Linked DNA regions of Lonchura striata. The protein of the gene in region 2 purifies or fractionates together with the protein of the main gene of each other region. This does not show direct contact. Links are inferred from orthologs where the notes say so. Each region holds a gene or a part of one and is shown on either strand. Other genes may lie near its edges. The genes, in order: CEP97, KIF24 and CCP110.

The links.
Region 1: the proteins of KIF24 (region 2) and CEP97 purify together in Homo sapiens (co-immunoprecipitation; 4 studies listed by BioGRID and IntAct, with this or other methods). This does not show direct contact. The link is inferred for Lonchura striata from reciprocal best matches to the Homo sapiens genes KIF24 and CEP97.
Region 3: the proteins of KIF24 (region 2) and CCP110 purify together in Homo sapiens (co-immunoprecipitation; 4 studies listed by BioGRID and IntAct, with this or other methods). This does not show direct contact. The link is inferred for Lonchura striata from reciprocal best matches to the Homo sapiens genes KIF24 and CCP110.

Annotation. Positions count from the first base shown.
Region 1 is NC_134604.1:733,064-740,944, reverse strand, and holds the start of CEP97 (centrosomal protein of 97 kDa), read right to left. Parts: upstream 3,025-7,881; 5' UTR 3,003-3,024; coding exon 2,831-3,002; intron 2,601-2,830; coding exon of another isoform or gene 2,291-2,600; exon of another isoform or gene 2,179-2,290; intron 1-2,178. Other genes in the region: ZBTB11 (zinc finger and BTB domain-containing protein 11), read left to right, coding at 2,291-2,600, 5,459-5,694, 6,335-6,566, 7,674-7,881. UniProt on the Homo sapiens protein: Acts as a key negative regulator of ciliogenesis in collaboration with CCP110 by capping the mother centriole thereby preventing cilia formation. Required for recruitment of CCP110 to the centrosome.
Region 2 is NC_134642.1:41,232,024-41,239,494, reverse strand, and holds the start of KIF24 (kinesin-like protein KIF24), read right to left. Parts: upstream 3,022-7,471; 5' UTR 2,915-3,021; intron 683-2,914; 5' UTR 600-682; intron 1-599. Other genes in the region: NUDT2 (bis(5'-nucleosyl)-tetraphosphatase [asymmetrical]), read left to right, coding at 4,389-4,521. UniProt on the Homo sapiens protein: Microtubule-dependent motor protein that acts as a negative regulator of ciliogenesis by mediating recruitment of CCP110 to mother centriole in cycling cells, leading to restrict nucleation of cilia at centrioles.
Region 3 is NC_134618.1:10,063,084-10,070,714, reverse strand, and holds the start of CCP110 (centriolar coiled-coil protein of 110 kDa), read right to left. Parts: upstream 3,019-7,631; 5' UTR 2,894-3,018; intron 2,226-2,893; 5' UTR 2,090-2,225; intron 985-2,089; exon of another isoform or gene 899-984; intron 817-898; exon of another isoform or gene 694-816; intron 117-693; 5' UTR 107-116; coding exon 1-106. Other genes in the region: GDE1 (glycerophosphodiester phosphodiesterase 1), read left to right, coding at 3,098-3,352, 4,551-4,726, 6,374-6,479, 7,158-7,250.

The DNA.
Region 1 (7,881 bases), on a different chromosome or scaffold from region 2:
ACATTTAGGTTCATATTTAACTTGCTGAATGCAGCTAGGGGCTCCCTTAGTAATTTTCCACCCTCCCACTGCTAGAGGGATTGAAATTCCTTATGGGAGTTCCTGTGTCTGCTAAGTAACTGCACTGTGCAGACAGCTTGCCCAGACTTTGCCGGTTTTGCTGGACAGGAATGGCCTTGGCAAAGCAATGTCCTGATTAACTAGAACCAAAACAGAAAGCAAACCTTCACTATTTTCTGTATCAGTTACTTTTCTGTTGATACTGTGAGGGCTTGATTTGTTACCTTACGACCAGTCAAGAAGACGGCTGTGTTTCAACTTCCTGCAGTCCTGGGCTTCGAAAACAATGGCTGTAATGGGCACTGTGGATTATGGGCTGTACTTAACACCTTGTTTGGGTTTTAGTAAAATAGATATGGGTCTGGATGAAGGCTACAACCCATTTAAAAAGGTCTGGCTTGATGATATTAATTGAATCTGCACCATGATCTTCCAAACAATTTTGCTTTTTGCTATTAACAAAATCCAGCGCTACTTATTTAGAAAGAAATTGGAAGCTAGTTAGCACGTTTGAAAGCAAAGGGTCCAGAAACAAGAGGGGAAAAGAGAGGAAGAAAAATTGCCTGTAGTTAGGAGGGAAAGGAATTATAATAATTTAATACTGAAGGCTGAAAACACCTCTGAATATTACCCGTGCTAGTGGCGATTATAAAAATCACATCACTGTCTTCTACAAGACACCTGGTACCCTGAATGTGTCCTTGTGAATATTTTCAGCTAAGAAGCTGAAAATAAAGATGAGTTTTTACCATCTGCTTGAAATACCATTAATGATATATACAGAAACTGGCAGATATGACTAATTAATAAGTTAGTATTTGTTAATGCTTTGAAGTTTGCAGGCTTTGGCTGCCTGGTGTCACTGCAGCAGTGCACAGAAGGGCTTCACAATTTCTCTTCCTTGCTGCTTATTCCCGAGTTGTGATATGAGAAGAAGAGTGACAGCCCATCAGGTTACTCTTCTGAAAAGCTATGCACTGAGTGAGGCAGGCTGTTCAGAGCAGAATAAACAGCACTTTATTCACCTCAAACACAGATGTAATAGAATGAGTTACGGAAATTAATGTAAGCCCTTGTTCACCTAATTTAATGTAGTTGAGCCTCTATCAGGTATTTGTCAGGAGAAATTGCGTACCTACGTTTGTCACAGACCTACAAAATAATTTTGGTTTAAAAGGACATCAACTCTGTTGAAAATGCGTCTGTTTAGATGGGATTTAGTATCCAGCTGAGTCTTGAACACAACTCCAAGGACAGAGATTCCATAACCTAAGGCCGCCTGTTCCAGTATTCGACCAGTGCCATTGTTAATCCGAAAAACTAAATACAGAGCCCTTTTTCTACATAAACAGCGCTTTTGGGCGGCTTTGCTCAGTCTGGTGGGTATCTGTGTGTGGGGACCGCGGTGCTCCCCGTGCGCCCCGCAGGTACCGAGCGCAGGGAAAGGGATGGGGAATGGAACTGGGAATGGGAAACAGCCACAGCCCCCGGCTCCCGCCTGGCGTGCCTCTGTTACGGGCGTAAAAACCAGCGCACAGCTCGGACAAGCAAAACGCGCAGCCGCCTTCTAAAGGACTTTGTTTCTTGCCCCTTACGGACGAACAGCGCGCCCCGAGCGCCCCGGGGCGTGGCTGCGGCGCTGCTGCTGCTCCCGCTGGGCACGGGTGACCCCACTACTCCCCTGGCAGCTCCTGCCCGCCGAGCAGGAGTTTGGGAGCCGGGGCTGCACAGGGGTTCATTCCAGGGGTTCATTCCTGGCATTCGTTCCCTCGGGAGCGCTCCCGGCTGCACCGCCGCAACCGCGCCCCGCGGCGGGCTTTGCCCGGCTCCGACATGGCGGCCCCGGCCTCGCGCCCGTGCTCTGCCCTGCCCGGTTCCGACATGGCGGCCCCGCCTTGTGCCCGGGCTGTCCCCTGCCCGGTTCCGACATGGCGGCCCCGCCTTGTGCCCGGGCTGTCCCCTGCCCGGTTCCAAGATGGCGGACCCGCTCCCCCCGCCCCTTCCCCGCCCCTCCCGCGCGCGCGCGGCGCCGCCTCACTTCCGCTTGTGCAGCAGCCATTTTGTCTTTCCGCCGCCGCCGCTGCCCGAGCTTCTCCCTCCCTCCCGCCGCCGCGGGCCGCGACACTCCAGTTCCCCCCCGGCGCGGCTCCCGCCGGGCCGGGGCCCATCCCGACCCCCTTCCCGCACCCCGGCAGGCTCCTCCGCAGCCCCTGAGGGCTCTGAGGGCGCGATGTCCAGCGAGGAGAGCTACCTGGCCATCCTGCGGTACCTGACGAACGAGCGGGAGCCGTACGCGCCGGGCACGGAGGGCAACGCCAAGCGGAAGATCCGCAAGGCCGCCGCCTGCTACGTGGTGCGCGGCGGCACGCTGTACTACCAGCGGCGGCAGCGCGACCAGCAGCGCTTCGCCGAGCTGGAGGTGGTGCTGCAGGCCGAGCGCCGCGCCCGCCTCATCCGCGCCGCGCACCTGGCGCCCGACGGCGCGCACCGCACCCGCCTGCAGACCTGGCACGGGCTGTCCCAGCGCTACTGGTGGAGAGGTGAGAGCGCGGCTCGGCGCGGCTCGGCTCGGCTCGGCTCCCCTGATGCGGGCTCGCAGCCTGTGCCAGCGCGCCGGCGCCTTCACTCGAGTGCTCTGGTTCTGTTCTGTTCTAGCTCCTCGCGTTCTCGCGTGGAACTTCCCGTGCATTAGTTTCCCTTCCTTGTGTCATTGCTTGGCACCAGCGGGACCTCGCTCCGTGCTCCTGGCACTCTCTATTTAGATATTTACCGACATTATGCGGTCCCCTCTCAGTCGTCTCGTCTCGAGGCTGAGCGGGCGCAGTTCCCTCAGCCTTTCCTCCTAAAGAGATGATTCGGTCCCTTAACCATCTTCGTTGCCTCCGCTGTAGCCGGAGTTGCATGTCTCCCTTGTGCTGAAGGTCTCCCTTCCGTGTTCCCATCCCTGGCGGGACAGGAGGGACTGTCACTCGCTGAGTGACCAGAGCCTTTAAACGCCACCTGGAAGCAGTGTGGCAGTGAGATGTGTCACAGCCCGAGAGGCAGGGCTCACCCTGCGCGCTGCATCTGGTCAGCGCATTGTCCAGGCTTCTGGTCGGGTGCTGGCACCTTGAATAGGTAGAAACGCGGAGTACAGCTGTCCCCTCCAGGTCTTGCACGCAGCCCAGGTAAGGCAGTGGCATCTCCACTGTGCCCTTGGGATAGGGTGATAATCCAGTCCACGTCACCTGTGTTAGCTTTGGACCTCATTCGTGCATGTGATGGTGTTCGTGTTAAAGTACTGCAGCTGCCAGTGGTGGTTGGCAGTCCTGGCATTCATTGCTTTATTTGTCTCCTTCTTGCAGCGACACGCTGAAGAGACCAGGCTAATTCTCAGCTGGGTCCTGAGTGATGTCACAGCTGTTAGAAATGCTGGTGCCTGAACAGCAATCATTTCCAATTGGGATTTTCTTTTGCCTGAGGAAATGACTCCATATCTTGTTCCCTTTCGATTTGCTGTTCTGCTTTTAGCCCTAGATATCCATGAAACAAATAGCCTGCTTTTCACTTGCCATGGGCCCAGTGTGTGTTTATGTTTATATTGCTTCTCTTGTTCTGCTCTCTTCATCCATCAGCAAGTCTGTAATTTCAGCTTTAGTTTTCCCTATTTTCAGTTGGAGGGATTTTGCTCTAGCTGCAGTCAGTCCCTCCAGTCCAGATCTCATTGACTTGAAGGTATTTTCATGTGAAGAAAGGGTTTGGCATCTCAAAGCTGATACACCCATTTTTGTTTCCTTGCCTTTATTTGCATTCTCATTGTCTGCTCAGCATTGTGCTGTTCTGGCATCTACTCTTATCCTGTGCTGGAAACTTTCTCCATGGGCCTGCCTCAGTGTAGCTTCTGTTAGTCAGGAGAAGGCATTCTGTATTCTTTTGATCTTATTGGTCACCTTTATTTGCACACCCTAAATCCTCTTGCTTCTCTTACACTGAGAATACTAAAATTCATTCCATGCTTTCAGTTCAAGTGTTATGTTTCTTACATATGTCTCCCTTAAGACAATGTTTTCCCAGGCATGACAGTACTCGCTGGCTGCTATGGACAGCAGCTTTGGCCCAGCTGCCATCCTGAGAAGGACATCAGCCTGCTGTGTGTCTGTTCTGTAGCTGCAAGGCCATGGGCTGGAGAATGGCTCTGAGGCCAGGAAGGGTGTTAGAGATGTGATTTGCAGCCCCTGTCTCATTTCAGATGAAATCAAGGAGATGTACAAATGTTGAAATGGGAATTAATATCTTAGCTTGCCTTAAGTCTCTGTTTTCCTCACCCTTGCAGAGACAGGTATTTAATGATAGTGCAAGTCATGCTCTGAGGAGATGTGAGCAAGCAAGTCTTAAGTCTGGGTCAGCAAAGCTTTTGAGCTGTGCTGGATTTTAAATCATGGCCACCTGCTATACGTGCTTTTATATTGTGCTGGTGAAGAGAACGAACTTGGATTGAAAGCCATGCGTGGCAAATGCCTTGGTATCTAGAAGAGGACCCTGCACCTAGGACCTGTTGAGTGTCTGAAATGATTTACAGAATTGCAGAAGGTGCTGAGTGGGAAGGGACGCACAAGGATCACTGAATACAGCTTCTGGCCCTGCACAGGACCATCCCCAAAAGGCACAAGAGTCATTCCTGAGAGCATTGTCCAAACACTTTGTGAACTCTGTCAGGCTTGGTGCTGTGACTGCTTCCCTGGGAAGCCTGTTCCGGGCCCAAACACCCTCTGGATGAAGAACCTGTTGTTAATATCCTACCTAAACCTCCCCTGACACAAATGCAGGCTATTTCCTTGGGTGCTCTCATTTATATTTAGTTCCACTGGTTAAAGTAGTGGTGGGAAATGGAGTTATTTAAATCCCAAAATCATAAGCAATTGTTTTAAATCAGCATTAATAGTTCCCATCAGTGTCATTGCATGTAGCACCGTTGATCCCAATTTTGCTAAAGCTCATAAGTGAGCCTTCCAATTCTTGTCCTCTTCAGGAGGAGCAAGCCATTTGTGTGGGCTAAATACAGGATTACATTACATTTGTCATTACCTTGGGATGATGAGACTAAATTTCTGAATACCGTGTTGGGTTTTGTTTTAGCCTTAATAACCTTTCTAGGAGGGTTTTCTTGATGTAGTGGTATTCAGAATGTTCTGTCTCAAATTAGCAGTAGAGACATACAATATATTGCAATGGTGAGACAATAGAATTGATAATATTGCATTAGAGAGGGAGAGTGTAGGTGACTCGCTTTATTTTTCTTGGTTAGTATGTAATATTTTTGATTATTATTGATATTTTGCTAATCTTCTACATAGTTATTTGTTTACAGTAAATGGAATTAAGATTAGAAGCCTAATCAAGCTCCATTAATTTTTTTTAGGTATTCTTAAGCAGGTTAAAGATTACATTAAAGAATGCAGCAAGTGCCAGGAAAAGCTAGATCGTTCTAGATCTCTGTCAGATCCTTCTGAAATGCTGGAGGAGCTAGGACTGGATGCAAAATCTCATGAAGACAGTAATGAAACAGATGATGAATTGAGTAACACAGCATCAATCCCAGCAGCATCCCCAAAGCCTGTGAAGAAGAAGCCAATAGCAAAGCACGAGCTTGTGTTTGTAAGTACCACTGTTTACAGCTGAATAGATTTGCATTTTCTATTACTGCTTTCTTGGTCATGTACTTCTTTTCCATTGTTGTGGTAATCTTGTTACAGCAAGACTATAAATTTTGCCAAAGATACCGAATATGTAGAAATGGGATACTGGTGTATATGTCATGAAATTAATTACAGGACACCATTGCTGGGAAATAAAATCACCCTATATATTACGCATATAGAATCTAAGGTAAAGTGAATGGCAGTAGTAAAACATCACATACCCGATTCTTATGGGCTCTATATCTTTCTCTTAACACATGATGCTGTACTGATATGTAAACTTCTTGTTCATAACTGCAGGCTCACATGCACATAAAAGACATTTGAATTTAGAAACTTTTTCAGACTGTAACATAGAAAAATACAGTCAAAGAGCTGTTTGAATATGTCTTCCCATTTTCCCAGTTGGTTTTAATTGTGTTTGGAGGGAGGGTGAAACTTAAAGAAAGAAAACAATAGTAAAGTTAAGCTGTATATTCTCCAGGCTTGAACTGATTGTATGGTTGCAGAAAATAATCCTTTTCTGTGTTTCAGTGTGAATGCTTAAAAAGGCACAATCTAAATGTAATGAAGTTCTTAAATGTTGTTTATGACAGGTTGACAGTAAGGGCCTTGTGAAGCAGTCATCTTCCAAACATTGTCTGTCAGTCTTAAACCAGCTGAATCAGCAGAGGCTTTCCAATCAGTTCTGTGATGTGACTTTGCTGATTGAAGGAGAGGAGTACAAAGCTCACAAATCTGTCTTGGCAGCCAACAGCGAGTACTTCCGAGAGCTCTTCATTGAAAAGGGAGCTGTCACTAGTCATGAAGCTGTAGTGGATCTGTCAGGTGAATTGCTGTGGGTTTCAAAGCTAGAAATCTATAATATCCTAAGTAAGGTGTACGGTATTTAATTCAGTCTTTTTTGAGTGTTAAAGACAACCAAATTTTATCTTGCTTTTTTCTCTATTTTAATCTAGAAATATTTTGTGTGGATTGTAATGCAAAAGTGATCACTCTGATTTTGCCTAATCTGATTTTCCATGGACTGTGGTATTTAACCTTAAAATTTCTGAGAAGCTTTTGAGGGATTTTTACCTTGCTTAGGCATGTTCCCTCCTTGTATTAGTCACAAATGTTAAAAAGGGAACAAAGTCGAATGCTTGGGTGCATCAAGTGGGGATGTTGACAAGCTGCTTGGAGAGTAGTTCAGCTTAACAAATGCTAAATTGCTTCTTGTTTCTGTGAAGCAGAATTATACGTGTCTGCTTATTTCTCAGACCTGGTACATGAAAGACAGGAGCTAAAATATATGTTCTAAAAATAGCTTTGTAGTGATGAAGAACAGTGTACAGAACATATGCCTTCTTCATTGCTTTCTCATTTATTAACTGTCTTTCTCAGCATGAACAATAATTGCCTAGTAGGATAGTCCAGAAGGTTCCCCACATTAAATATTTTATTTATTATTTATGTAACTGTGGACGATTATACCAAATTCTTATATTTCAGCATTACTATCTATATGTCCATATTTTTATTGTTTTCAATAGCTACTTCCTTATTTTTCTACCACATCACTTGTTACTTAAGACATGAGTACTTTCTGAATGTAGCAGATCCAGAAAGTCTTTGGTTCAGTTAATCTGCTCCAAAAGTATTGTGGCTCTCCCAGCAACTTGAAATATTCCTATTGTGAAACTCTTTAAGTACTACTTAGTTTTTGAAAAAGTTGTCTGAGCTTTCCCATACATGGAAACTACATGAGGAAAAAGCTGTAGTGTAAATGACAAATTAATTGAGTGCCAGTGATGGGCTTGTTATTTCCAAGTGTGTTTTGCTCTAAGTTTCAGGCTTAGATGTATCAAAGGTGAATTGTTGTATTCATCATGGGATATTTTGGGGTAATTTCAGCTCATCATTACTTACTCTAATATCTTGTTTTATTCCTGGTAGGTTTCTGCAAGTCCAGTTTCCTGCCTTTACTGGAATTTGCTTATACTTCAGAATTAACGTTTGACTTCTGTAGCATGGCAGAAGTGGCCATGCTCGCCCGGCATCTCTTCATGTCAGAGGTCCTTGAAATCTGTGAGAATGTGCACAAGCAGATGGAAGAGAAACAAATTACAGTGTACCAAAAGGGAGATATTCAAACCGTGGAGTC
Region 2 (7,471 bases):
TTTGTTTGTTCATCCATGAGAATAATATGTCATGAGGCAGAAAAACATGCAATTCTTCAGTGTGTTCTTTTCATATCAAAACCTAGGTCTTGTTCCCCACAACGATATGGGTAGCTTCACTTAAAACAGGGTTGAGATAAAAGACAAGGACTTCTTGCAATAGTTGGGTGTAACATATTTTGAGAAAAAGGAGAGTGTGGAGGTAAAATTCTCCATGTGCACCTAGCCTGACATCTCTATGTGGCAACCATGAATTCTCTACAACTTGTTTCTTATGCTGAGACATTTTACAACGATCTTAAAAGGCTTCCAGATGCTGGTAATGTGTAAGTGCTCGTTGAATAAAAGCATTAGAATGATATATAAAAGGGAGCAGCTTAGCCACAGAATTAGCTCACAGCTTGTCATCAGAGAACTCTTCCCCAGCTTCACTAATACAGGTTTTTCAAAGGTTGTACAGCTGATGAAAACCAGAAAAGTCAGTGTAAATAAAAGAAAGCAGTGGCCACATTTTTCTGTCCTGAAAGAAATTAACTTACAGCAAAATTACACTCTAGGTGCTGACTCTCCATTTTAAAGTGCTTCAAATTATTAATTACCTCTTTCACAAGATCTTTTCCTTCTCAATGCACTTTTCAAGGTGGAGGAAAGGTCTTCGAAGATGCTTGGTGACTGTCAATCACTGTGTATAAAATACATTATGTAAAAGTGCCATAGAGATTATTTTAAGAATAAAGCAGCCTAGAACCACTATATCTTGATCATTATTAACTTCTGATTTATGAAAGATCTCAGCACCCCATTCACTTGAGTAACCCTCACATGGACAGTTTTCCCACTGTAGCTCACTCATATTGACCTGACAATTTTTGATTATTTAGAGTGATAATTTCAGATTTAGATGATTTCCTGAGTGTCACCACTGAGAGAGAACACGTGTCATTATATCTATTCTTTAAATTAGGGAAATAAAGTGAAGAAATCTTACGTGACATTGCCACAAATGCAAATGATACATTTTGTCCTGCATATAGTCTAAGGTAACCACTCTGAACATTAACTCTGGCCTGATCACTAAATAAGTTTATTAGTCATGATTTTCAAGGGTATTTGATAAACATAGAAAATGTTAATCAGCATACAAAACATAAACACTACCTTCTTTTCTTTTAACTTTTTTATAATGTGCTCTGCAAGTACATTATAAAAATAAAACTTAAGAGCTTTAAAAGTTTGTAAATGTGTAGCAGGTGGGTGTTCTCTCCTGATAGCAACTACAGCAGCACACTGTACTCATTACTTGCAACCATTTTACCCCCCAAAAAACTTCAGCACAGGTCCTGCCCATGCCAAAGAATTTGCACGTTTCTTGAAATACAGAAGCAAAGAATGAATAGGGAAAAGGGAAAGGTATTAATTTGTGTCACTACCCATCCACCTTCATTCCTGATTCCTTTGAACATCAAGCTCTTTTTTTTAAGGTGATCCAAAACCAAATCTGACTGAACCCTCCAAAAGTGAATGGCTAACTTGCTTTCTGAGACCACCACACAAAACCCTTTACCTTTAGTCATTCTGACCCCATTCCTGGGGAATTAGGGTCCTGTGAAGAACAGGGTCAGGCTGCAGCTGCACTTTTTTAAGACAAGCTCCACAATAAGAGATAATCTGTACTGTAAAACGAGCCCAGAATTTTAGTTTAATTTAACAGGTAGGGATCTGTGAAACCGTGATTGACATTGCAGCAGATCCCTTTGGAAGATCATAGGATTACTCTACCCTGCACGCAAACAACAGGGCATTAAACATTCCATGGCTCCTTGGAACAAGTGTTCAGCTGTTTGGAAGCTGGGCACTGATAGATAGCCACTTACTTAGCATCAGTACAGCATAAGTAACTGGAGAGGAGGAAAAGGTTTTAATGCTAAATTGTTTTAATGCAATTTTACAGCTGGAGCTTGGCACAAGTCTGCTGCTTGCAGCAACAAGTAAGAAAAGGGGGTTTCCCTTGTCACTGACATACCTTGAAGAAGTTGCTAAAACAATTAATGTCATTAAAACCACCTTACAAGCAACTAAATATTGGGGATTTTTTTGTTTCCCCAGAAAGCATTTCAGAGTATTGTATTGCTCTAGCCACACTAATTAATGTCATTAAAATTGGCTGACAACCAAATGAATATAAGAGATTTTCTTTGTTTCCCCAAAAAGTATTTCAGAGTGTTTTATTCCTCTCTCCATACTAATTATAGACGGGTGACCTCAGCAGAATAGGCCCCATCCTACAGCTGATCCTGACAGCTGCCAGAAACAGCTGCACAAAGAAGGGAAAGTCTCCAACACAGGGATACTGAATATTAGAAGTGTCCAATATTCAACCACACGCCGAGAAAATAACCCACGAGTTATGGCAGGGTGCCAATTATTTGAAAACCGTGCCTGAGCTCATCCTCCCAGCAGGATATACCAAACGTCCATCATGGTTTCTTTAATAATTTCAACGTTTTATTTAAAGTTTAAAATATAAGCGTAAAAACATATTTCATAGATATTATAAAAATATATATTAACACTGTTTTAAATAGTACTCAAGTATTTTAGAAATTTTTGCATAATGTATATCTATTTTTAATTGCACTTACATATTTTACGTGTTATATAAACTACGTGCTATCTGTAAAATAGATAAAATACACAATTGAAAAGTATTTTATAGCTATAAAAGTGCAGTTAAACAAAGTGCCACGCGTCCGGACTTCCGCCGTGCAGGGGGCCCCATGCCTCATCCTTCCCGGAGCTGTCCCAGCACGGCCCTTCCCCGTCTAGAGCCCGGTGGGGCCGGTCGGGGCGATGTCCCTGGAGCCCTCCCTGCCCCAGCTGGAGCCGTCCCCTCAGGGGCTCCCCCCTCACTCACCGGCCATGGCGCCGCTCGGCGGCGTTCGGCTGCGTCTCCTTGGCAACAGCGCTTCGAACGCCGCGCGCAGCCTCGCGCGCACAGCCAGCCAATAGGGAGAGGGGAGGGGGGCGGGTGGGGCGCTTCCGCCGGCGAGAGGCCAATCCGAGGCCTCCTCGGGTGCGGGGGCGGGGCCGGGGGAGCCCGGACGAGAAGGGCGTGGCTACCGCCCTCGCTGCTGCCGCTGCGATTGGTTAAGGCTGACGCCAATCACGTCCTGGTTCCCGCCGGCTGCCGGAGCCGGAAGCAGAGGTGATGGCGGGGGTCCGTGGGGGCCGCTGTAGGGGTGATGCGTGTCTGCGTTCCCAGTGTCCCGACCCCGGTGTCCCGTGCCCAGTGTCCCCATCCCTCTGCGGGTGGCGAGAGGCCGGGGCAGCGCGGCCGCGTCGCGCCGGGCGCCGGCGGAGGGGCCCCGCTGGGATTTGTCCTTGTCCTTACAGGCGCGCACGGGAGGTGGTGCTGGTTCCTCGGGCTGGCCCCAGGGCCGCAGTGGGGCTTTGTCCTGGGGGTGCTGTGCCTGAGCTAAAGGAGCTAGGTAAGAACTAAAGGAAGCGGTTGAAGTGGTGGACCACAAGAGCTGAGCGTCGTCCAGGGCTGTGGCTGCTGGCGAAGGGCTCCGTGCTGTGGTTTCCCGTGTTGGAAGCCGGAGGTGTCACGGTGCCGCTCTTGGCGTCCCAGGAAAATGCATTGTTGTGTACAGTTATTTACTGAAGTGTGCGTCTCTGCCAGAATGCAAAGCTTTGCCCAGGACTGGGAATCGGCCAGATTTGTGGAATGAATTACTCGTTTCCATTGCTTCTTTTTCTCTCTAGGACTACTCATGCTGGCTGCGTAGCTTCTTGCTGACAATATTTGTCACTTAAGAGGTGTGTTCCTTACTGTTCACATCAAATCAGTGCTTAGCACGTGTGCTAAGAAACTTGTAGTTTTGTATGACAGCCTTATGTCTAGGTGAGACAGCAGAGAGCCTGTCCTTTGTCATTCATTTTCTCAGCTTTGCTTCTGATATCCTGAGGAGTCCTGTGCTCTAGGAAAACTGCCCGGAGCAATTATTTCCGTATGCCAGTTCCAGTAATGGTGAGCTATTACCTCTGCACAGAGCCTTTGGAGTTTTGCAGTAGAACAGTTTCAGAGTATTAATCTGTGGTTTTCCTTTTGCTTTGTAATTTTTTTCCCCCTCCTTGCAATATGGTTTGCAATTTATCAGCAGCAAAGACATGACTTACAGGTCATTTTTCATGCTTCTCTATAAAAAAGGAAATTTTTTTACAATTCAAAGGCAGCTAATAATATACAATTTAATTCTGTGGTGACTTCAGAGGGGTGGACAATTTTTTTACTGTGCTGAGATCTGTTCACTGGCTAAATACGGCTGGTCTGTTCGAGTCCCTTGTTTGTGCTGTTCTGCAGCTCCTGGTGCAGTTGGCAGAGTGGAATGGCTGTGAGAGCTTGTGGCTTGATCATCTACAGGAGGCTGCAGCCAGCAGCATGCTCTAAGGTCACTGACTGCATCGAGTACCTCCTGCTTCAGACATCCTATGGGACCCACCACTGGACCCCGCCCAAAGGTGATTTTTGTTCTGGTAACACTCCTGGTGGTCAGGCTGCAGAGAGGTTTTTGGCTGAGGTCAGTTTAGAGGGGCAGTTACCACCTGAAAGTAGCTGCTGGCTTGTGCTGTTTGATGGTGCTGGAGGTGAGGGGGCAGTTTTGAGGCTGAAATCCTCTGCAAGTTGTGTCTGTACAAAGTGTTGGGCACGGCTGGTTTGGGTTGGGGCAGGGGCTGTTACCCAGCCGAGCTCTCAGGTGTCTAATGTTTCTGACAAAGATATGCACACGACTGAAGCAAGGTGATGAGAGGATGCTCTACCTTCTTGCCTCGGCCCTCACACTTTGGCAGGTGCCTGCAGTGTTGCCAGTGCAGGATTGTTTGACCCATGTGTGATCAGAGTCTGCAGGGCTGTGGTCACAGTCTTCAGGAAGGCCAACTGAACTCTGTAATAGAACACTTTAATACGCTGTTCTTAGGAGATGCAGGAGATCATTGATGAAGATCACTTGCCTAATGCAGTAGAGATGAGAGGGACAGATAGAAGAATTAACCTTACCAGCCATTCTTGGTCATCAGTGAAGCCTCAGAGCAGAAAACAAACTCTGTGTCCCAGGACAGAGAGCAGCACCTCCTCTGTAAAGGCACATTGCAGAGCCGGTGTTTGCTAGTACACAGTCACAGCCCTGGTACCAGAAAAAGCGCAGCACAGAAATACTTTAGGTTCCCTGGAGATCTTCTTGAATGCTCTTTTTTACCTCTGAGATTTTGTCCTGATAGTTTCTACTTCTCATTTGGTAAAAGTGTGGTACAGCAGTTCATAAACAAGAACTTGCAAATTGGGGAAAAAAAAATCTTTTAACACTGTCAGCTAGGCTCTTCTATTCAGGGAAAGAACAAAACTTTCCCAGTGTTTCCCTTTCCTCTGTTGCACCAAGAATCTAAGGGAGTTGAGTTTGCAGCCTAGTGGAAAGCTAAAAAAATATCTGCTGGGACATGATTGATTGTTGTGAGAAGAAATCTTGTGTAAGGAGCCCTGGGAACACAGTAATTCTGGACAAGTGATTTAAATTGCTTGTAGGCATTTTGGTAGGGAGCTAATTGTCTCATAAGCATATATCTCACACACCCAGAACCACAGAACAATGTAGCTTGGAAGGGACTCTTAAAGGTTGTCTAGTCAAAGCCTCCACCAGTGGGTAGGAACGTCCTCAACTAGAGCAGATTACTCAGAGTCCCATCCAACCTGGACGTTTCCAGGGATGGGGCCCCCACCGCCTCTCCGGGAAACTTGTGCCAGTATTTCACCAGCCTTATAGTAAAAGCAAGTCTTCCTTGTCTGTAGTCTGAGTCTTCCTTCTCCTAGATGAAAAGCAGGAGCCTTTCTCCTGTTACTCCAGGCCCTTTTCAAATGTCTGTCCCCAATTTTCTTATAAACAACCACCCTTTAGGCACCCTGAGGTCTCCCCATAGTCTTCTCTTCTCCAGACTGAACAGCCCCAACTCATCTGGTCTCCAAAGCAGAGGTGTTCCACTCCCTGATTGTATTCATGACTTCCTCTGAACTCAATCCAACAGGTCAATGTCCTTCCCTTGCTGAGAACTCCAGAGATTGATGCAGCATTACAGGTGGGGTCACACCAGAGCAGAGGGGGGGGATCACCTCCCTCAACACTCTGCTTCAGATTTTAGATATTGAAGACCAGAATCTGATGGTGGCCTATAATAGAAGCTTGATAATGATTTGGGGGAATTTAATGAAGAGAAGCTATTCCATTTTATAATACCTGTGATAGGAGTGGTCTTTCAAGGTGGCCCTGGGACATGCAGTATGATAATATGTACGTGATGTTAGGATTGATTCCATGGGGCAGGAGTTAGAAGGAGAAGTCGTACGTGTCTCTCAAAGCATACACAAAAGGCAGTTAACAGCTACAGCTGTACCTTGTTATTTTATAAAGTCTCGAAGCTGCTGCATCTCTTATGGGATTAAACTGGATCCCCTCACATGTACCTCATCAGCCTTATCTCTGTCCCTAGGACCGTGACTTTTCACTAGCGGAGGCTGATGGGAAGGGGATGTAGGGTTCATTTTCCTTCTCAATCTATTAGAACTGCACCAGTGGGAACAGGTGGGAGGATCTGAAAGCTGTGGTGTGTGAGGTGCTGCCTGCAGTCCTTTTTGTGCTCTGCAGGTAGACTGGACTGCACAAATGTGGCAACTTATTGAGCTCAGACCTGAGGTTATCAACAGGTATCAACATCAGATGCTGTGTTCTGCATAGCTGCTTCTTGAAAGAAAAATGTATTTTACATTTGAGGTGATGTCATGTTGTAAGAGGTTGTTCACATTTTTGATACACGGGCAGGGAAGTGAGTGGGACCCGTTGCAAAGGCAAAACAAACTTCCTACATAGCCCAGATGTGGTACTAAAAGGACACTTTGGGTATCTGAGACCCGAGGAACAGTTAATCTCTGTGGTGAATTTATAGCTATTTGGAGCCAGCTACATAGAAAATAGAGTAACACCAGGGAAAAAACAGAGCTTAAACTTCTTTTGCCTTCTAAAATGTCCCAGGTCCTGCTATGTTGCTTTTTTTGAGGTATTGCTTGGCTTGTTCTATTTATGTTCCGGAGCTTTCATGAGAAAACCAAATCTGACATTTCTCAACAAAAGTAGATATGGCTGAGGATGTGTTATATTTATACATTGTTTGTAGTGGCACCTCTTGTTCTGAGCAATGTAAAATAAATGGTGTGTCCTAGGAGAACTAACTACCCAGCTGCTGAAAGGACTGGCTTTCAGATTTTTTGCTTGTTTCAGAAGGTAGTATGGAAGAGAAAAAATCCCTAGCTGCTTAAATGAAATGCACCTTTTAAATGGTACGTGTCTGTGCCTAGTCCTGTTGTTTCTGGACCATTGGCACAACTAAGAGTTTTGCAGAATTGAGCCTTAAGCTTATGTGAGAG
Region 3 (7,631 bases), on a different chromosome or scaffold from region 2:
AGATATTTTTGTTCTGAACAGTCAAGGAGGTTTTTCCTTTTATTGCCTCTTCTTGGATTCTGGAAAGATGCTTCCTACAGAATATTTCATAGTCCTCCATCTTCATGTTGTCTAACCTGCAAAGAATAATAACATTACTCATCCATGTACTTCCAAGACACTGAAGGGGAAAACAATAACACCACTAATTCTGTGTCTCTACGTTTTGGGAAGCAAATTCTACGTTAGAAAACTGAATTAAGTTTGTCTTCTTTCTACCATTAACAAAGCCTGCAAAATTCTTCCTTATTTTCCCCTATTAAAGGAGAATCTGCATGTAAGAGCAAAAATTATGATCACGGGCACACAGAGAAGAAAGCACGCATTGTGATAATTAGGATTTACAAAACTGTACCTACTATAGATAATTTCCATCAAAGACTAAACCTTTGAGATCTTCCACAACGAGACACATCCTATCAATTGTTACAAAAACCCCAAAACCCGGCCCAAACAAACCTGCAGCCCAATTGAATTAAAAAAAAAAATTAAAAAAAAATAAAAAGCCTTTATATGTTTAGGGGGCTGAGAGGAATTCGTGTCTCACTCCCGCGAGCTTCCACGTCTGTATGAACAGACGCCAATACTTACATCACAAAGAAAAAAAAAAAAAAATCAAATTGCAGCCTCGTATCCTTAAAAGCGGCCAAATACCTGAAAGATGTCTCACTGCCCGTCCCCACCGGAGCGAGCCCCGCAGCGCCGGGCAAGGCCTGACAAGGCTTTGTTCGCCGGCACGCCGCTTCGGCCGGTTCCTGCCCGCCGCTGCGGGGCACGGAGCCCGCCCCAGCCGGGGCCGATGCACGCCCGCCCCGCCCCGGCGCTCCCCCCGGGCCCGGGCCCGTCCAACGCTCGGTACCTGCGCGGGACTGGCGGCAGCTCCGGCAACCGCCGCGCAACGGCCGGGCCGCCGCTCCACGGGCCCGGCGCGCCCCGCCCGCCGCTCCGCCCCCAGAGCACGGGGGCCCGGCGCCGCCGACACCGTGTGCGCTCGCACCGCGGGACAGCGAAGGCAGCCCCGGCCCAGCCCGGTGACAGGGGCTGCAGCGCCGTCCCGCAGCTCCCATTTCCACCCACAGCTCCCCCAGATAAGCTCCCCTGCGAGCACGGGTGTGATCTGTTCTGCTTCATCCCATTACAGACCACACGGCTGTGCGGTCCCTGTGGATGTGCCGCTGCAGGTATCAGTTTCAGCGAGCACGCTAAGATAAGAGAGATAAAGGTGAGCACCTGTTGCCATGCTCTGCGAGGACAGCATCCACCAGGACAGCATCCATGCGGGCATCACCAGACATCCTATCCCTCCCGCCCGGGCTGCAGCCAGCTGCCGGTCTAGCCAGTCCAGCAGCAGGTAACACTCACCTGTCAGGCAGGTCAGGTGGAAGGGAAATCCACACTTGTTTGCCAGGCATAATTAATTTAAATATATGGACGCATCTAATTCCCAGCATTTAGAGCTGTTAAAGCTGTCATTCTAGTTTCAAAAAATAAGTTCATCATCTGTTACCTCTTCAGCGATCATTGAGGGGATTTATTTTTTTAAATTTCATCTTTAATCTTAACAAATGCTATTGTTTATCAAAAGGTTTTAAAAGTATGTTAGACATCTAATTAGACAGCCCATTAATTGTTGTGCAATTGCATGTATATCTCTGATTTTTCTTCAGCTACACCTGGCAGAAGCGCAAAGCCACTAACAGAGTATCTGAGATGCTCAGAACCAGCTAGGACATTATGTGACAAATCTTCATCTCAGCAATTTAAACAAAAAACAAAACTAAACCAAAAAAAAAAAAAAAAAAAAAAAAAAAAAAAACTACAACCATTCAGAACATGGTCTTGTGCCTGTTCTACCTCTAGTTGGACAGAGCTCCTCACTGGAAAGTCAGTTGCTTCCCATACTTCCCACAGATACCCAAAGAGGGTCAAACCCCCCAGTCACATCAACACAAACTGCTAGTTCCTCACTTTGCTATCCCACTTCTAGACTAATCCTGCTCAGGTTCCCCACCCTTCACTTAACCGGTTGTTTTCGTGCCTTGTTGCTCACCTCTGGGTTCTTGGCGGATGTTCACAGGTGTCGGGTGGCCGGAGCCGCGCTCCCTGGCCAGCAGCCGCCTCTGGCCGGGCAGGAGGCACCGCCTGCTCCTCCCACGGCTCCCGGGCTGGCCTGCGGACAGGCACGGCTGCATAGAACACACTATATATAACACTGTCTATAACAAACCCAGCAAACAGCTGGAAAATAATCACTATGGATGTTATGTTTCTAATTAGCTAGCTGGCATAGCTGCGGAGAGCCCTCAACACTTTCCATCCACACGGGTGTTCTGCGACTCCCTGGACAGCGCTGCCTTTCCTTCCATTAGCACCCTTCACTTTCATCCGCACCATGTTCCATCAGGAACACCCCGCTTCCCTCAGAGCCCCGTGTTCCATCAGGAACAGCCTTTGTTTCACTCAGTGTTCCATCAGGAACAGCCTTTGTTTCACGCAGAGCCCATGTTCCATCAGACAACCCCTGTTTCCGTCAGTGCCCCGTGTTCCATCAGGCACAGTCCTTATTTCCCTCAGTGTCCATCAGGCACAGCCCCTGTTTGTTTCTCTCAGTGTCCATCAGGCACAGCCCCTATTCCCCTCAGTGTCCTTAAGGCACAGCCCCTGCCGCTCCCCTCAGTGTCCATCAGGCACAGCCCCTATTCCCCTCAGTGTCCATCAGGCACAGCCCTTATTCCCCTCAGTGTCCTTAAGGCACAGCCCCTGCCGCTCCCCTCAGTGTCCATCAGGCACAGCCCCTATTCCCCTCAGTGTCCATCAGGCACAGCCTCTTCCCGCACGCCGCTCCCGGCGTTACCTGAGGAGGAGCCTGGGGCCCGGGCCCGCCCTCAGCGCGGCAGGCGGGCGCCGCGCGGACACTGCGGGCGCTGATTGGCTGCTGCGGCAGACAGCCGAGTGCTGATTGGCTGATGGCGCCGCCGTCACCGTCGGCGAGACGGCGGCCGCGGTTCCGGCCCGACAGCGGCCGTGACCCCGGCCCGGCCCCGGCCCCGGCCGCGCCATGCTGTGCCACGGGGAGGGCCTGCTGAGCCCGCTGACGGCTCTGCTGGTGCTGGCGCTGGCGCTGAGCCGCAGCCCGGCGCTGGCCTGCCTGCTGCCGGCCGGGCTGTACCTGGCGCTGCAGCTCTTGGCGCTGGAGCCCGCGGCGCCCCAGAGCGCGCAGCGCGTGCTGCGGCCCCGCGGCGCCGCCGGCCGCATCGCGCACCGCGGCGGCGCGCACGACGCGCCCGAGAACACGCTGGCGGCCATCCGACAGGTCAGCGCGGGCCCCGGGGCTTTGCCTGCCGATCCGCCCCTCCCGCGGCGAGCCGCCCTCGCCCGGATAACTCGGCCGTCCTTCCAGAGCTGCTGGAAGCTGGGTGGGCGGGGGGTCCTTCATCCCAAAGGGAACTTCAGATCCGGCTCTTGTGGGAACTGTTGTAGCCTTGGTGCTGATGGGTAACTCAGCCGTGCAGCAGTAATGAAATACTGGATTTCCCTGATGTAGCAACAGCACACAGAGAGTGCACAGCAAGTCAGGAACTGGTTGTGTGTTTTTTTAAACCTTGAAGATCTGTGATGAAAATCCACATTTAGGAGAAAATTCTGGTGCCAGATTCACTGTGGGCAGCCCTGCCATGCCTTACTGCTGCCTCATCTGCAAGGCACCAAGGCACAGCCAGGATTCACAGTCTCTTTCTGAGAATCATTTGAGATAGTGATTACCAGTCTCTGGAATGTAGTGTTTCTGTGAGGCTGAGACGTTGCTGCTCTGAGGATCTCTTGCCTTTGTGTGAGACAGGATTCTCAGTCCTGATAAATTCTGAAGCTGCACACTCCTTACAAAGCAGACACCTGGAGGCAACCTCTGTACCCGGTGTTTGTCCCTTTTCCCAGGAGGGCATTTGTCCTTCAGAGCAATTGGTGTTGTTAACACTTTACTCAAATGTTTTTCTAAAGAGCTTTTGGGAAAGATCCAGGGCAGGAACAGGGTGTATGAAATGTTCTAAGGCAGCCTGGCTGCTTCTTGCTCTGTGATAAAGCCATTCCTGAGAGGAGCAGGGATTTGCCATCCATCTGCTGCTTGGAATACACGTGGTGAACAGCGTTGACTGCATGTTAAAGTGTAGACATTTGCTTCTCTTGTCTTTTAGAAAATAACATAAGGACTCCAGGGTTATTACATCAGGAGAGAGCAGGATTCTTTTCTGCATTTTTATCCTGAAAGTTCCAATCCCAAGACTGAGGCAGAATCATTATGATTTCAGCTGTAAAATAGATTAGATGGTTCAGCTGATTTTTGAATGCTCAGCAATGACTTGGATAAAACCTACTTTTTTTCTGCAGATGAAGACAACTGAAAAGTCCATTAATGTTTTATTATTTTTTACCAAAATACAAGCTAATTATAGCTGTACCTGTGTCAAATCTATAAAGCTGTCTCTTCTGTTGTGATTTTTAAAATTTTTTTTAAGGCAGCTGAGAATGGAGCAACGGGTGTGGAGCTGGATCTTGAATTTAGTGCAGATGGTGTCCCCATCCTCATGCACGATGACACAGTTGAAAGGACAACTGATGGGGCTGGGAGACTGCAGGACCTGACTTTTGAGGAAATCAGGAAGCTTGATCCATCTGCGAAACACAGGCTACGGTAAATGAACTGTTCTGAAATTACACTTTTGACAGTGGGAAAATAATTCTAGATGAACAACATTATTGATTTGATCTGTCACTGATTAAATTTTTCTTTTAATTTAAAACTTAGTCCAAAATTTGACTAAAACTTAGTCAAATTACTTCTAATTTGATTTTTTAGGCATATGAAACTATATCTCTTTACTCATCAGTAGATTAAGAACAGTGAAACACATTAAAAAAAAACACAGTCAAGGACAAAATCCACAGGCATCTGATGTGAAACAGGTCAATATCTACATAAGCTTGTCCTAAATTGACTGCAGGACACTGAAGGTGCTGGGATTTTCATGATATGTCAGAATTGTCTAGAGGAATTACTTCTAAGATTAGTTTTATTCACATGTATTTCTTGACTGATTGTGTTTTGGAGATCTTATACATCAGGTTTATACTGTTAAAGAGGAGCTGGACAGATTTTGGGTGGTGGCCTCACTGTGACCCTAGTGGCTGATTAGGTCCTTCCTAGGGGTATGCAGGGGAAAATATTTTTATACATTACTAAGAATTTGATAAAAATGTTATATACATATAATATATGTATATAATATAATAGTACATACATATAATAACATAATATATACATATAATATATGTATATAATATATAATTACAAAGAATTTGATAACAAGGCAACTTCTGCAGTATCATAAGTGAGTCCATTTCAGAGGAAGAACTCGCAGTGTGTGCTCCTGAGACACTGTATTAGGGAATTCCAGAGCTGCAGAGGTGCCTCCTGTGAGTGTGTGGCACAAGGAGTATCTTCCCTGTCTCACTGGAAGGGTGATCACTTGGGCCATGCAGGGGGAATTTCCACAGGCAGTGACTGCTGAACAGCTGCTGTTCACTGTCAGGAGTGAATGAACTGTCACCCCATCAGGAATGATTTATTGATGGGTTGTTACTTTGGTTTTTTTTGAGAGTTTTAAAGTCCTTTTAAAAGTTCTTACACTTTCTGATATTTACATGTTTTAACTGATTTTTCTCACACACTGTTTATGCAAATAATGATTGTTTTGTGTTTTTCTTTGTAGGTAGAGAGAATTGATGAACTGTTAGTTTGACTAGTGTAATTAGAGAGGTGGTAGTTTCACCCTCTAATCTGCTGTCATTTTGTTATATATATATATATAAATATATATATATTTGTGTTATATATATATATGTTGTATATATAGGGGAGTTAGAAAATAAAGTTTGCTTTTCAAAGTTCGTTTTCTTTCCTTTTACACCTAGCCTGCTTCTGAAAGTTATTTCGTGTCACAGTGTAACAATGGGTGAAGCTGCTTCTGCTAAATCCTCAGCTTGTCTTGCCTGTTCTGCCAGGATCTGCATTTCTGACTAGGGCTGGGAAGTGCAGTGGGAGCAGGAGGAAGGCAGCAGTTGGGACTGAAAGCTTATTTGTGGGATCTGGGGAAGGAGGTGAAGAACTGGGGCTGGTGTTTTGGGGCAGACACGGGGCCTGTGAGCACTGGATCCCAGCTGCAGTTCCAGTGCAGCAGCAAACTGTGCTGGAATCAGCCCTGTGTGGGTGGCAATATGCAGGCCCATGTATGTGCAGGTGTGTGTTGGCTGCATTCCAAGGAGTTCTCTGTTTCTACAGGAGCCAGTTCCAAGATGAAAAGGTACCAACTCTGAGAGAAGCTGTTGTGGAGTCTATGCATCACAATCTCACAATCTACTTCGATGTCAAAGGCCATGCAAACCAGGTACTGCTCACTGCAGCATGACACCTCCCCTCACCCCTTCTTTGGGTTTCTGACCTGCTGTTGTGTTGGTCTCAGACCAAGTCCCTTCTTTAACATGAGCAAGCCCAGGTCTGCTGCTTGTGTCACCCAGAGTTGTCCTGGGAAGCTGCAGCTTAAAATTGCCCAAGCCTTGTGCAAGTGTTGCACTCAGCTCACAGCACTGCTGTGAAACAGAGCAAAGGGAATTCCCTGCGGTGCTGAGGGGAGTCAAAACCTCATCTTCAGCCTCCAGAAAGGGATCTATAATTTGCATTAGTGAAGGCAGATGCAAATGATCCATCACTAACATTTTATATAAATTAATTTCTTTCTTTAGTTTAGCAAAACATAGCAATAAATAATTTTCCTCTTCAACTTAAGCTTAGGTAGTACTAAAAAATTATATCCATGACATATTTAAGGGTATTTCAAACACTGAGAATCCTACTCGTTGTAAATAATGAACAGAAATTCTTTTGCTAAAAACCAAAATACCATTTCTGTGTTAATGCTATAAACAAGATGCTATTTTTCTTCTCCCTTTCTACTTCAATCTGGCAACACAGCAGGGAAGTGTTTTTAAGATTGTTGTAAAATGACTTTGCAGTGTAAATTAAATATGAGTGTGTGTATAACATCTCTGTGTGTCTCTAATTGCAGGCAGTTGATGCCCTGAAACAACTCTACCAGGAATTTCCACAGTTGTATAACAGCAGCATTGTCTGTTCTTTCATGCCAGACGTTGTTTATAAGGTGATGTTTCCTAAAAGTTTATTTTTAATTTCTTTAGTCCTGTCTGGGAATTTCACTATGGTATTAACCTCCCAGTTCCAGATTACTTTTTGGCTGTTCAAATGCCTAAGGCTTTTATAAACAAATGAAGCATAATGCATAATCTTATTACTTTACTCATTAGATGCAAATAGGAATCTACAGCAATTCCTTCCCTTTTGAAAGCAGTGCAGAGAAACGTGCTTTGGTCTTCTAGTTGGTGTCTGGCCAGGTATCTGTGCGCAAAGTACCGGCTAAATAAACCTTTTATATTTTACATTACTCCTAAAACTCTATCCTCATTCTTACTGCCAAGTGTGTTTATTTTTTTTTCCCCATTATATACATTGCATGACTGCTATG